Arabidopsis thaliana: one gene and its partner. The protein of the gene in region 1 purifies or fractionates together with the protein of each later gene. This does not show direct contact. Each region holds a gene or a part of one and is shown on either strand. Other genes may lie near its edges.

Evidence for each region.
Region 2: the proteins of AT5G13520 (region 1) and GME fractionate together in Arabidopsis thaliana (co-fractionation; one large-scale study listed by BioGRID). This does not show direct contact.

What each region holds. Positions count from the first base shown.
Region 1 is NC_003076.8:4,340,724-4,347,353, reverse strand, and holds AT5G13520 (peptidase M1 family protein), read left to right. Parts: upstream 1-2,561; 5' UTR 2,562-2,782; coding exon 2,783-3,778; intron 3,779-3,902; coding exon 3,903-4,136; intron 4,137-4,220; coding exon 4,221-4,547; intron 4,548-4,943; coding exon 4,944-5,237; 3' UTR 5,238-5,397; downstream 5,398-6,630. Other genes in the region: KEG (protein kinases;ubiquitin-protein ligase), read right to left, coding at 1-167, 994-1,736; EMB3136 (Ribosomal protein L10 family protein), read right to left, coding at 5,398-6,060; AT5G13500 (Hyp O-arabinosyltransferase-like protein), read right to left, coding at 6,527-6,589. UniProt on the Arabidopsis thaliana protein: Aminopeptidase that preferentially cleaves di- and tripeptides. Also has low epoxide hydrolase activity (in vitro).
Region 2 is NC_003076.8:10,861,017-10,867,871, reverse strand, and holds GME (GDP-D-mannose 3',5'-epimerase), read left to right. Parts: upstream 1-2,925; 5' UTR 2,926-3,146; intron 3,147-3,827; exon of another isoform or gene 3,828-3,846; 5' UTR 3,847-3,847; coding exon 3,848-4,257; intron 4,258-4,343; coding exon 4,344-4,440; intron 4,441-4,517; coding exon 4,518-4,647; intron 4,648-4,733; coding exon 4,734-4,866; intron 4,867-4,944; coding exon 4,945-5,152; intron 5,153-5,244; coding exon 5,245-5,400; 3' UTR 5,401-5,856; downstream 5,857-6,855. UniProt on the Arabidopsis thaliana protein: Catalyzes a reversible epimerization of GDP-D-mannose that precedes the committed step in the biosynthesis of vitamin C (L-ascorbate), resulting in the hydrolysis of the highly energetic glycosyl-pyrophosphoryl linkage.

The DNA of each region.
Region 1 (6,630 bases):
GTCGAGTTTTCTGGCATGTTGGCTTCTTTAGGATGGGAGCGAGCCCATAATCAGAAACCACAGCATTGCCGCTTGCATCCAAAAGAAGATTGGAAGGTTTTATATTCATACAGATAACACCTGCTGCATGGAGTTCTGCAACCCCTCGAGCAACATCAGCCCCATATCTACAGTTGGTAAAATTTAATATCACAACAAGAGCAATGGAATAATACATATGTTGGTCACTGAAGGAATATTCTAAGTTGTAAACTTAAAACAACATGAGCACGATATGAAAGGAGAATACAAAACACTCATTTACGCATTAGTGCTTACATTTAATAGTCCCAAATGACGCAATTCAGTTAAAAACAGAAAATAGGAGGAAATACAAACAAGTGAATTGAAGGTAATATTAGAACCAGGACAACAAAATAAGGATCATCTTTAGATGATGCGTCCTTTGATAAATTAATGTATAACAATTCGTACAATTTTTTGCATGATTTGATATGTCAGTTCGTTGAAAAATGATTTCTGGTCATATACTTTAGAAGGAAGCATACTAATGTAAAGGGCTTTCTCAAAGATATCTTGCAAACGTAGGTTCAAGGATCCACTACTAAAAAGGAAAGGACTAGTCCAAAAAATGTTTGTCTATTGAGGCATTGACAGATGAAAAGTAGCTGCAGCTGGTAATGACAAAGAGAGATGACAACTACTATAATTCGTGCCTAGCTTTTTAAGAACATCTAAACTAAAGTTATCTTACAAGTTGCCCTTTTGGCAAATGACACCAGGTTTTAGTTGCTTGTTTCACTAGAATCTGAAAAACTGTGCACTTACAATATATATTTCTAATAGCAATCACAAAAAACCAAGTCGGGTCTAGTCCAGTAATTTCTAATTAGGGAACAGGCTATCAAAGTTTGAGACTTTAAGCACAGAAACGATCACAGTAAAAGCCAGATACTAGGCAAAAAAAAAGAATAAGAGAAGCAAAAGAGGAACCTTAGAATCTGCTCCAAAGTAAGTCTGCCTTCATTGCGTTGCATCTCAGACTGAACAGACCCAAAGCACCTGTCCATCAAAAGACAAAGAGATCCATCCATCTTCACAACCCCATGGAAAGTACAAACATTCCTACACCACATGGATGCTCTCCGCAAGCTCTCAAGCTGTCCCTGCATCCACTCAACATCCATGTCCTCCGTCAAAGTCATCTTTTTCACCGCCACACGGTGCTTACACCGTCCACCACCGCCTGCAACAGTTGCATCCCACATCTCCACACCTCCAAAACCACCACTACTACTCTCTTCCCCAATCTGCCTCACCAGCTTCATCTCCGGGTGAGCTCCGACCTCGATCACTGGACCACACAAGCTATTAATCGAGCTTGAGGCATGAAATCCACGAGCGGCACGAGCTCCATCTTCATCACTACCATCTTCTTCATCGTCGTCATCCTCATCATCCGTGTAATCGCAATCGAAGTTAGCGCCGCCGGATGCGGCGTGAATGAGAGCAAGCATAGCGTAGTTCTTCCTGAGACCCTGAACAGAGTTCCCAACAACAGACACGTGGCGACACCGGGGACAAGTGAGGGTTGTGTCGGAAGAAGTAGAGAACATCTTGGAAAGACAATCTTTGCAGAAGCCATGGCCGCATTGAAGCAATAAAGGAACTCTCTCATCTTCATTATACCGCGTGTGGCACACGGAACAACAAGGGACCTTGACTCTCCCAACCATGAGAGCTCCGAAAAGAGAAAGCCCTAAATTAATTTAGGTCGCGAGATCAAAGAGTAAGAAGGGAGTGAAAGACCAATCAATTCAGTAGAGAGAGTTCCTCAGAACATATCTGGGGGGGGGGGGGGGGGAAGGAAACTCAGTAAAGTCGATCCAGATCAAGGAGAGAAGAACAGATCCATGGAGAAGAAAGAAAAAGGTGGAATTTTTGAAAGGTAGATCAAAATTGGCTGGGAAAAATCAGACACGAGCAAGCAAGAATAAAAATTGTAAGAAAAATGTGAAAAAGGTTCTTCTTCAGGGTTTTATATCATCATTTTTATTTTTATTTTCATTTTTTTCCAATTTTATTTGGGGTTGAGTCTCGAGGGCTCTCTGGTTTCGTCGGTTTTGACGGGTGGGTGCCGTCAGCACTTGTGCTCGAACCCGTTTATTGACTCTCCTAATAGTAGTAATCGTCAACCATCAGATTTTATATTTGTTGTCATCAACAACTTAAACCATCAGGAAAAAATAATTGTAATTTTTACTGAGAGTTTTTTTTTTTGGCGAAGTTTTTACCAAGTAGCTTTTGAGCCAAATGCAAAAACAAATAGATTGTTTGATCTTGTAATAGAGTTCACCAAATAATGAGACGATAAATCTGACACCAATACCAAAATGTAAACTCGTTGTTTGTTGCTAAGTAGATTACTCGTGTGAGTGTATAACTCATGGACCTAAAACTTGAAGCTCAATAGAGGCTCAAGCCCAAAAAGATGGTTGTTAAAAATCTCAGGATTGTTGGTGGCTTGGTGTGCTTTTGGTTCATCCAACTTGGGTTTAACATTGTATTTAGTCGCCGTTTAATATCTAACGGTTTCAACTTTATGCACTAAATGATTCTCCATTAACCAAATTATTCCAAAAATACATTATTTATCATCATAAAATGGTACCATCGAACAACAATTCTTCATTTTTTCTTTTTCTCCCGCTTTATACTCTCTTCTCCACCTCTCTAACTGCCCCTTTCCTCAAAACCCTAAGCAAGCTTCTCTCACTCAGCAATGGCACCCATTGATCCACACTCTTTCACCGATTCCTCTCATCCTCTCACCACGCATGTCGCTCTCTCCCTCTACCTCGATTTCAACACCTCCATAATCCATGGCTCCGCTCTCCTCACTCTCTCCTCCGCCTTCTCCGGCGAACTCTCTCTTGATACTCGCTGCATTTCCATTGCTATGGTCCTCGATCCTCTCACTCTCGAGCCTATCCCTTACTCCGTCTCCACCACACCGGATCGAATTCGGGGCACCGAAGTTGTCGTAGTCCTCTCCGGTCAATCTTCACTGCTAATTGTCTACTCCACTTCGCCTTCTGCTTCCGCTCTCCAGTGGCTTTCGCCGCTTCAAACTTTCTCCAAATTGCATCCTTATGTCTACACGCAGTGTCAAGCGATTCACGCCAGATCCATTTTCCCATGCCAGGACACTCCTGCCGCGAGGATCCGTTACGACGTCGTTATGAACATACCGAATTCGCTCTCTGCCGTCATGTCGGCTCGCCACGTCCGTCGTAGGCTTGCGGTTCCTGAGGAGGCTAAACATCTCGAGGCTGGGTCGCTGGGGTCGTCACTGTGGTGTGGTGAGGATAGAGTTGTGGAAGAGTTTGCTATGGAACAGCCTATACCGCCTTATCTATTTGCTTTTGCCGTTGGTGAGTTAGGGTTTCGGGAAGTTGGACCTAGGACTCGGGTATACACAGAATCTGCCGCCATTGAAGTTCTAGATGCGGCTGCTCTGGAGTTTGCAGGAACGGAGGATATGATCAAGCAAGGGGAGAAGCTGTTTGGAGATTACGAGTGGGAGAGATTTGACTTACTGGTGCTGCCTCCGAGTTTTCCTTATGGAGGTATGGAGAATCCAAGAATGGTTTTCCTGACGCCTACTGTTATCAAAGGAGACGCCACTGGAGCTCAAGTTGTAGCTCACGAGCTCGCACATAGCTGGACTGGGAATTTGATCACTAATATCAACAATGAACACTTCTGGTTGAATGAGGTAGCTTTGAATTGTCTTGTGCTTTTGCTTCTTTTAGCTACAAATTAGGATGTGTAACTGTGTGTCCGTTTTTAGAGTTTGCCTTGTTGATGGGAAAGTGTTTATTTCATGTTCATGGCAATAGGGATTTACAACTTACGCAGAGAGGAGAATTGTGGAGGTTGTTCAAGGGGCGGATATAGCTACTTTGAACATTGGCATTGGTTGGAGGGGTTTAACTGATGAAATGGAACGGTTTAAGGACAACTTGGAGTGCACTAAACTGTGGAACAAACAAGAAGGTGTTGATCCAGATGATGTATATTCTCAGGTCCCATATGAAAAAGGATTCCAATTTGTGTTGCGAATTGAACGCCAGGTTAGTTGAATTGCCCTCTTCGCTTAGGTGTTTTGTTATGTAATGTTTACAATAATGGTCATCTATTTACTGGAAAACTTTCAGATTGGAAGAACTGCTTTTGACGAATTCCTCAAGAAATACATTGCTACTTTCAAGTTCAAGTCAATCGATACAAACACATTTCTTGAATTCCTGAAAGCAAACATCCCTGGCATAGAGAAAGAGATCAATCTACAGCTGTGGACTGAGGGCGTTGGTATACCAGAGGATGCATATGAACCAGTCTCAACCATTTACACAAAGATCATATCCCTGGCGAAAGAGTTTAAGGAAGGAAAGATGCCAAGTGAGGATGATGTTGCTGAGTGGAACGGACAGGAATGGGAGCTGTACTTGGAGAATCTTCCTAAATCATGTGAACCTTCTCAGGTACTCTTTACTCCTTTCTTCCTCTAAGTTAATGGGAGCTGTACTTGGAGCTGTACTTGCTGAGTGAATCTTTATTTCTTCCTCTAAGATAATGGGAAATGGCTTGACTTAGGTTGAACTACTCAATAAGCTTACATAAGGAGGAGAAAAAGGCCTAACTAACTGTCAGTTAGGTTAGCTCAATAGTTACTCTTGGATTAATGTGGGGCTAGTGAATAATGATTGTGGAAAAACCCTCTTGGCTTTGGGAGAGTTCATGATTGTGGAAAGTGTATTGGCTTTGCAAGAGTTAGGATCTTATCTTGTTTGTTAATGACAATGCTAGTCAACAAAGGAAGGATTGGTGATCAGGTTCAAACCTATGGCTAACACCCACTTTGCTCATTGATGAATCAGGTCATGGCCTTGGACAAGCGGTACAGACTGGCAGAATCGAAAGACTATGAAGTGAAGGTCTCGTTTCTGCAACTTGCAGTCACATCCAAGTGCAGAGAGTACCATGGGGAAGTGAAGAAAACACTAAAAGAGGTAGGAAGGATGAAGTACCTGCGTCCACTCTTCACTGCTCTTGCACAATCTGGTGGAACAGAAGAGAAGCAGCTGGCAAAACAGGTGTTTGCAGAAGCTCGAGAAACTTATCACCCCATAGCTCAGGGAGTTGTTGAATCTATCCTCTCTAAGTACATCTAAACAAGACCGTTATGATAGCTTGAGAGCACTCCGAAAAACAACATTTCAATAAAACTCAGTCACTGTAATAACAATTGGTGCTTGAGAGAGTCATAAACAAAAAATTGAATTGCCTTTTGTTGCGTACATTACATTCTCCAAAAGATTAGTACAAGCTTAACTATGCATTACTCTCATCTTCCAACTTCTTAATGTAAGCCATAAGCACCATTATAACCTCTCTTGCTGGTGCTTGTAAAGTAGTGACGAGATTAATAGCCGGAGATTGCAGAGCACCGAGCATCTTAGCGTAGACCTCAGCACGAGTGGGCATGGTCTCGAGGACTTTGAAATTGTCAGGAGCGTAGAACTTACCTTCGAAGACAGCGCCGGCAAAGTCATTGTTTTCAAGCTTGCGTTCCTTCTGGAAGCTCCGGTAGGGTTTGATAGCAGAAGGGATTTCATCGGTCTGGACGAAAAGCCAAGCGTTCATGCCTTTCATACAAGGCTTGAGAGCTTCCCATTTGGTGCCTTCAATGGCTTTGAAGACCAAAGTGTTCTTGGCGACGATGAGCTTTGTAGTGTCGGGGAGAGTTCTCCGGAGGTCTTGAAACTGCTTGACGGTGAGGCCTTTGTAGTTGATGGCGGCGAGGAGATGGCAGTTCTCCAAGTGAGACTTGACGGCTTCGACAGTCTCTTCCTTCTTGTTACGAGACACCGCGGATCTGATGACCGGGAGGCGAGGGTAATTTGGGGAATTCGAGGTTTTGGGTGTGAGAGTTGAGATTCGCTGGTGACAGAGAGGAGACAAGGAAGAAGAGAAGGAGAGAAGAGCCACTTCCATTTTTTTGCTCAGAAGATGAGGAGACTGTTTCTAGCTGTGTGGAGGAAGAAGATAGATGAACAACAACACAATCCTCCACTAAGCAATTTTATTTTTTTATTTTTCTTAAATGGAAAATAAAATTTATGGATAAAAAAAGGGTTAATAGACGGAATTAGTAACTCCGTCTAATTTAACGCATTGTGTCTTTTAGTCTCTGCTTCTGAATTCTGAACGCAATCCATTGGTAAACTAATCAAATAACTAGACCCAAAATAATTCTATTTTCTTTCTCGGAATTATGGAAGATGTCTCGTCTCGTGTCAAACAAATAATTTTGTAATTTACTACTCAAGTTCATAATTTAACCATTACAAGAAAAAACAGACAAGAAGGGAAGTAAAGGGAGAAGGAAAAAAAAATTAGGCAAAATATTGTTGCTGTATGGATTTGTCCCTATGGTTTGTGTTTTGTGTGTGGATGTGAGTTAGAGAGTGTCCCAATTAGGGATAGTCGCAGTAGCTTCATTCACCATCTTCACAAGTGTCACCTGCACCATCACACAATATGTTATTAAGGACAGTCATTCAA
Region 2 (6,855 bases), 6.5 Mb from region 1:
AAAGGAAAGGGTATTTTTAAAAATGGACAACATAAAAGGGTATTGTTGCAAAAGGGTAGTAAAAAAATAGTAGTTTTGCAAATCTCCCTAGTTTAAAACTAGGTAAATGAATTTTTGCATGAGTAATTTAGTAAATTAACAACTACTAAAATATAGAAATATCTTTAAAAATGCAAATATATTGTATGTTTAATTGAAAAATGCATATATGTAAACTAAATTATTTTCGTAAGATATTATTAGATATTTTCGAATATGGCAATCTAATAACAAATTATCATTTCGTTTAGATTTTAAAATCTTCCTTAACAAAACTATGCTAATTAAATCTCATTTGTATACATGACAAAAAAGATTTTTCAATTATGATTTTTCAGATATGAAAAAACATTTATTATATTTGTCGTATATAATCTAAACGAAATACTTCTATCATTTAAAATACAGCTTATTCAAAAACTTATTTTTTGGATTCTAAATATCTAGAAAATATTTCCAGGGTATATTAAAATATTTTAACATTTAATTAGAGTTTCAATGATATAAAGTTTTAGAATATATTTTTTTGTTTTTAAAAACGGGTAGTTTCATTATTTTAAATATATAATTAACCCAAATTTTTAATATATTTTTTAAAAAGAATTATAATAATTAATATATCTGATTGTTTTATTTAGAGCCAGATAAATTATTCAATTTCAAATCAAATAAATTATTTTATTTTGTATCAAATTGTTACAAGATTTTGGAATACACATTCTTCTAGAATTGATTATTTTCTTTTTGAAATAACATTAAAATAAATTTAAATACCAATGTTGTAATTTTAATGCAAATTTAAGGAACTATTGAATTTAGATCAAGATGACTAATTTAACTAATTACAAGCTATTTTTAAATTTACACAGTTTTTGCAATTAGTTCAAACTAATTCTCTAAATTTATTCACATTAAACTATCTCTTAGTTTTATGATATTGTTAAGATTTGTTTCTTGAAGTTAAGAAAGTTTATCAAATAAATTCAAATATATATATTTGATTAATTATATATTATATCAACAAGAGGATTTCTGGATTTGAGATAATATATCAAGTCGGTGTTTATTTATTTATATTAAATAGTAAATATAATTTTGTTTTCATATATGTGCACGTACACAAGAACAAATGTATGAGTATGACATATTATAGTTGATAGATCATTTATTTTTTCAATTTGTTTTCATGTTTTAATTTATGGTATGTTTACAAATTTTAACAAAGCATATGTTAATCCCCAAAAGTTACAGCTGTATCTGGTATTGTGTTTAAAGATAAGTAAAAATGAACTCGGAACATGATATTTAATGTAATATAACGAGAATAGGAATGACGAAAAAGGAACGACATAGAAGGAGCCAACACGGGATAAAAACATAGCTTTTAGATTACAACAAGTTACAATTTAAGCAAATTAACGTTTGCAATCAAATATGTAACATGTGTTTTCAATTTATACAGCATAAAAATGCTCAAAATAATAAATGTTATTATAGTATGCTTTATAATAGTTAAAATTTAAAAATAAACAAATGTAATTTAATATTTATGAACAAAATATTAAACAATAAGAAGAAAGAAGTCAATTAATTTTGTAATATTTTTATTATATCATATCATATAAAAATATACATGAATTATATTTGTGTTTGTCCCAAACAGGATATAGAGAATTTTTGCTTCCATCACGTTCTGTTTCTAATCGGAATACAAATTTTTTCTCATATTAGAAATGCATTCTCTTATGAGAAATAAATTGGAGAACGAGTAAGATATAATGGAACATGATAAAATTGAATGAGAATTACGCCTATCTCTAAATATTTATATTTCTCGCAAACGTATTTAATCATTTTAATGGTTTTATATACGGTTTGATAGTTTACAAGTTTAATAAAAATCTACCTGACCATTAACTCGAATCAGTTTGATCTCGGTTCGACCGTTTGATTGTTATGAACTTTAAAATACTACTAAAATCATTATTATTTCAAATATTTCAACCAACTAATATAGTTTAGGTTATATATATACTATAACTATATAAATAATTTTTAACATCAATCTAACTTATATTATATTTTAATTTAAGATTTTTTTTTCTAATTTACTCTTCAGTTTCAAACTCCAAAAATGGACTTATGGTTGCTCTTATGTCATAAACAAACATAAATAATATTTTATATTTTTATGTGTACATTATAATTATTCAATACAGTATATATCACTAAAATAACAAAATAATTATATATTTAATAAAAATTTATTACAACACATTTCTTAATATATGAAGATGTACTATTATTTGCAAATACAAAATATGTTAAATAGTGTTTTAGTTAATTAGAAAATAACAAAAATTAAAGTAATTTTTCTCAAAATAATAATTATTTAAAGATTAATTGCTTAATTATTTGAATTTTATAAGAATTTCCTTTTAATGTGTATTATATATATGTATGAATAAGACTAATTGAAAAATCTGTAATAATCTAGTAAAATTTGGACAATTATTTAAATGGATTAGAATCACAACATGACGGTTTCGTTAATAACACGCCAATATAAATATTTTATTAAAAAAACTTCTCAATTAATATATAGAATATACATATATTTATTATTTACAAATATTTTTATATATTGAAGCTAGAAAATAAAAAAATTATGAAATTGTTTGGTGCACCAATAAAGAAAATATTTAGTTTTTTTTTTTTTCTAAACTAAAACATTTCTTATTATCTATCTAAATACGATTCAACAAATAGTAAAAATAATATGCATAATATAAATCATCAAACCTAATAAAAAGTAATAAATCTTCTATAAAATCTCCTATTTTCTAAAAAACTCTCTACAAAAGAAGTATTAATTTTTTTTTTCGAAGGATTTTATTAGTTATAAAATAAATTTAACAGAAAGAGGCACAAATACCAATAGGAGTTGGAAAACTAAAACAACGAGTGGTGTTGCTCTCTCCATCTTCCTCTTCATCTTCTTCTGTTCTCTCTCTATAAATACAAGTTTACTCTTCCTCTTCCTCAAATCTCTGACTCTTCTCTGCATTATCTCTTCGATCTCTCCAACTCTCCAAAACCTTCCTCAGGTAAAAGATCCAATCTTCCTTACAATTCCACTAATCTAGGGTTTTAAAATCCCAGATTCCTGAATCAAAACTTCTCTGAGATCCGAATTTCGCAATTCTGTGTTTTTGGCTAATTTACGCCTCGCAATTTTGTGTTTTTCGCTAACTTACGCCGAATCCAATGCATCCTCTGTCAAAACTCTCTAAATCCCAAATCTTTTTACAGAAATTTATCACAAATTAGGATTCCACAGTGATTTCTAGCTTTCGCATGAGAGATCTTATTGTGTTTAACATATTTCTTTGCAATTTTGTGTGTTTTTGGCTAACTTAAGCGTCGCAATTTTGTGTGTTTTCACTAACTTACACCGAATCCAATGCATTCTCTGTCAAAACTCTCTAAATCCCAAATCTTTTTACAGAAATTAATCACAAATTAGGATTCTACAGTGATTTCTAGCTTTTGCATGAGAGATCTTATTGTGTTTAACAGATTTGTTTTGCAATTTTGTGTGTTTTTGGCTAACTTACGCCTCGCAGTTTTGTGTTTTTCGCTAACTTACGCCGGAATCCAATGCATCAATAATCTTACCTCTGTCAAAACTCTCTAAATCCCAAATCTTTTTTATAGAAATTTATCACAAATTAGGACTCTACAGTGATGTCTAGCTTTTGCATGAGAGATCTTATTGTTTTTAACAGATTTGTTTTGTTAATGTAGAATGGGAACTACCAATGGAACAGACTATGGAGCATACACATACAAGGAGCTAGAAAGAGAGCAATATTGGCCATCTGAGAATCTCAAGATATCAATAACAGGAGCTGGAGGTTTCATTGCATCTCACATTGCTCGTCGTTTGAAGCACGAAGGTCATTACGTGATTGCTTCTGACTGGAAAAAGAATGAACACATGACTGAAGACATGTTCTGTGATGAGTTCCATCTTGTTGATCTTAGGGTTATGGAGAATTGTCTCAAAGTTACTGAAGGAGTTGATCATGTTTTTAACTTAGCTGCTGATATGGGTGGTATGGGTTTTATCCAGAGTAATCACTCTGTGATTATGTATAATAATACTATGATTAGTTTCAATATGATTGAGGCTGCTAGGATCAATGGGATTAAGAGGTTAGTTAGATTTTGTTTTCTTCGGTTTTCGCAGTTTACGGTTTCTTAAAACAAGTTAAAAAGATTGGATTTTTTGTTTGCTTTAGGTTCTTTTATGCTTCGAGTGCTTGTATCTATCCAGAGTTTAAGCAGTTGGAGACTACTAATGTGAGCTTGAAGGAGTCAGATGCTTGGCCTGCAGAGGTTTGTGATTATTTTTTATATGTTCTTGCTAAAGATTTATGAGTCTTTTCTTATGTGATGTTTTGATGCTGATATAGCCTCAAGATGCTTATGGTTTGGAGAAGCTTGCTACGGAGGAGTTGTGTAAGCATTACAACAAAGATTTTGGTATTGAGTGTCGAATTGGAAGGTTCCATAACATTTATGGTCCTTTTGGAACATGGAAAGGTAGTATACAGATAAACAGTTTCCGTACTTTGTGTGAATGATTAGTTGTTTACTATTGGGATTAATATTTGCTTGGATCAACTTAGGTGGAAGGGAGAAGGCTCCAGCTGCTTTCTGTAGGAAGGCTCAGACTTCCACTGATAGGTTTGAGATGTGGGGAGATGGGCTTCAGACCCGTTCTTTTACCTTTATCGATGAGTGTGTTGAAGGTGTACTCAGGTGAGGGTATCTCCTGATGTTGATGAAGTTGTATGTTAGACGTAATTGGCTGATATTTTCGTCATTTTTGTTTTATAGGTTGACAAAATCAGATTTCCGTGAGCCGGTGAACATCGGAAGCGATGAGATGGTGAGCATGAATGAGATGGCTGAGATGGTTCTCAGCTTTGAGGAAAAGAAGCTTCCAATTCACCACATTCCTGGCCCGGAAGGTGTTCGTGGTCGTAACTCAGACAACAATCTGATCAAAGAAAAGCTTGGTTGGGCTCCTAATATGAGATTGAAGGTACCAACATTATTTACTTAAGTAGCTCAAAGACAAGATAATAATCTAATTCTTTTATTACTGATATTGTTTTGACCATAATCGTTAAACAGGAGGGGCTTAGAATAACCTACTTCTGGATAAAGGAACAGATCGAGAAAGAGAAAGCAAAGGGAAGCGATGTGTCGCTTTACGGGTCATCAAAGGTGGTTGGAACTCAAGCACCGGTTCAGCTAGGCTCACTCCGCGCGGCTGATGGAAAAGAGTGAAGTTCACCAAAGTATAAGTCAAGCTCAAATATGGCCTTTTAAGTTCAGCAAAATGTTTAGATATATTTTTAGGTAGCTTCCTATTAAAAAAGCAATAATAAGTGTTTTGGATTTTGGTTCCTTCTATTCTGCTAATCCTTGTTTATGTTTAGTTGAAAAAGTTTGCTTGCATTGTTAAGTCTGTTATCATATTATTGTGGTCCTTTCATTCACAGTATGTATGTTTATCATCATAGTCAAGTTGATGTCGTGGTCCTCTCACGGACCAGTACAAGTAAGTGGCTTGTGTTTTTTCTTGCATCTTATCATCTATTCACACATCTCTAGAGGTTAGGGATCACTCACGGTGACTCACCATTCTTTCTCTTCCATCCACTTCTTTATCCCATTCCTCGGTCAAAAATGTCACACGTAATAAATCATAAGGTTTTAAGTTTATATATTGCTTTTTTTATGCAACTCTCCCGATCAGCAAAATATCTAAAATTTGAGATTTTTATCCATGTTCTAAGATTTGGTCTTAGACTCGAGATGATCCGAAAAATAACGTATTTACTATTTTAAATTTTGAATATACATTTTATCAAAAAACAAATATGAGATAAGGACGATATTATTATAACATAACATATAATGTTTTTTTATTATTTTAAATAATATCAAAGGAAATAAAGCTTAAACTTAATCCAAAACTAAGAAAAAAACCACTAAATCAAAAGGAAAAGCATAGTAAAATCTCAAAACAATTAAGCAACTTTCGGCTCAATTGTTAGCTTCTTTGAATATATATGTTATCAGTGTTTTTTCAAAAATCTTTGACGTTAGCATCATACTACAAATATTCATTTATGCATCTAAAATAAGACAATCGATATATTTCAAATCATCAACTCAACAATCACCCAATTTTTTGTTGTGGTTTTGCTCTTGCTCTCACTCTTCTTCGTGTCGCTTCTCAAATGAGCCCAAATCACCTTTTATATCATATGCAAAAGCAAATGAAGCATTTAACTCAACCCAAATTTAACTTGGGTTAACTAAAATTTGATCATCAAGTTCATCTTCACACTTCCCTAAAAGCCTAAACTATATTGATCATCAAGTTCATCATCTTTGTCCGATTTCTCCAGATTTTTAGAGATGAATTAGTTTCCACCAACACCTCACTTTACTCTCCTTTATTGGGCTAAGTTAGATTATATGGGCTTTGTGAGTTTGTATATTAACATGTATAGTCGGTTAGGTTTATCTCGACAATCTCCTCTCTATATATACTTTGTACACATGTTTATGATCAATAAGAAGAATATATTCTCTAAATCTACATCCTTCCACAACACTCTCAGACATCTCTCTTTTGGACAAGATTTTGCGACATTGACGATAACCATATTTCTTTCCTCATAGGTTAGCCCACACTTGCCCGAGCACTTATTGTGCATCCACTACCTAATC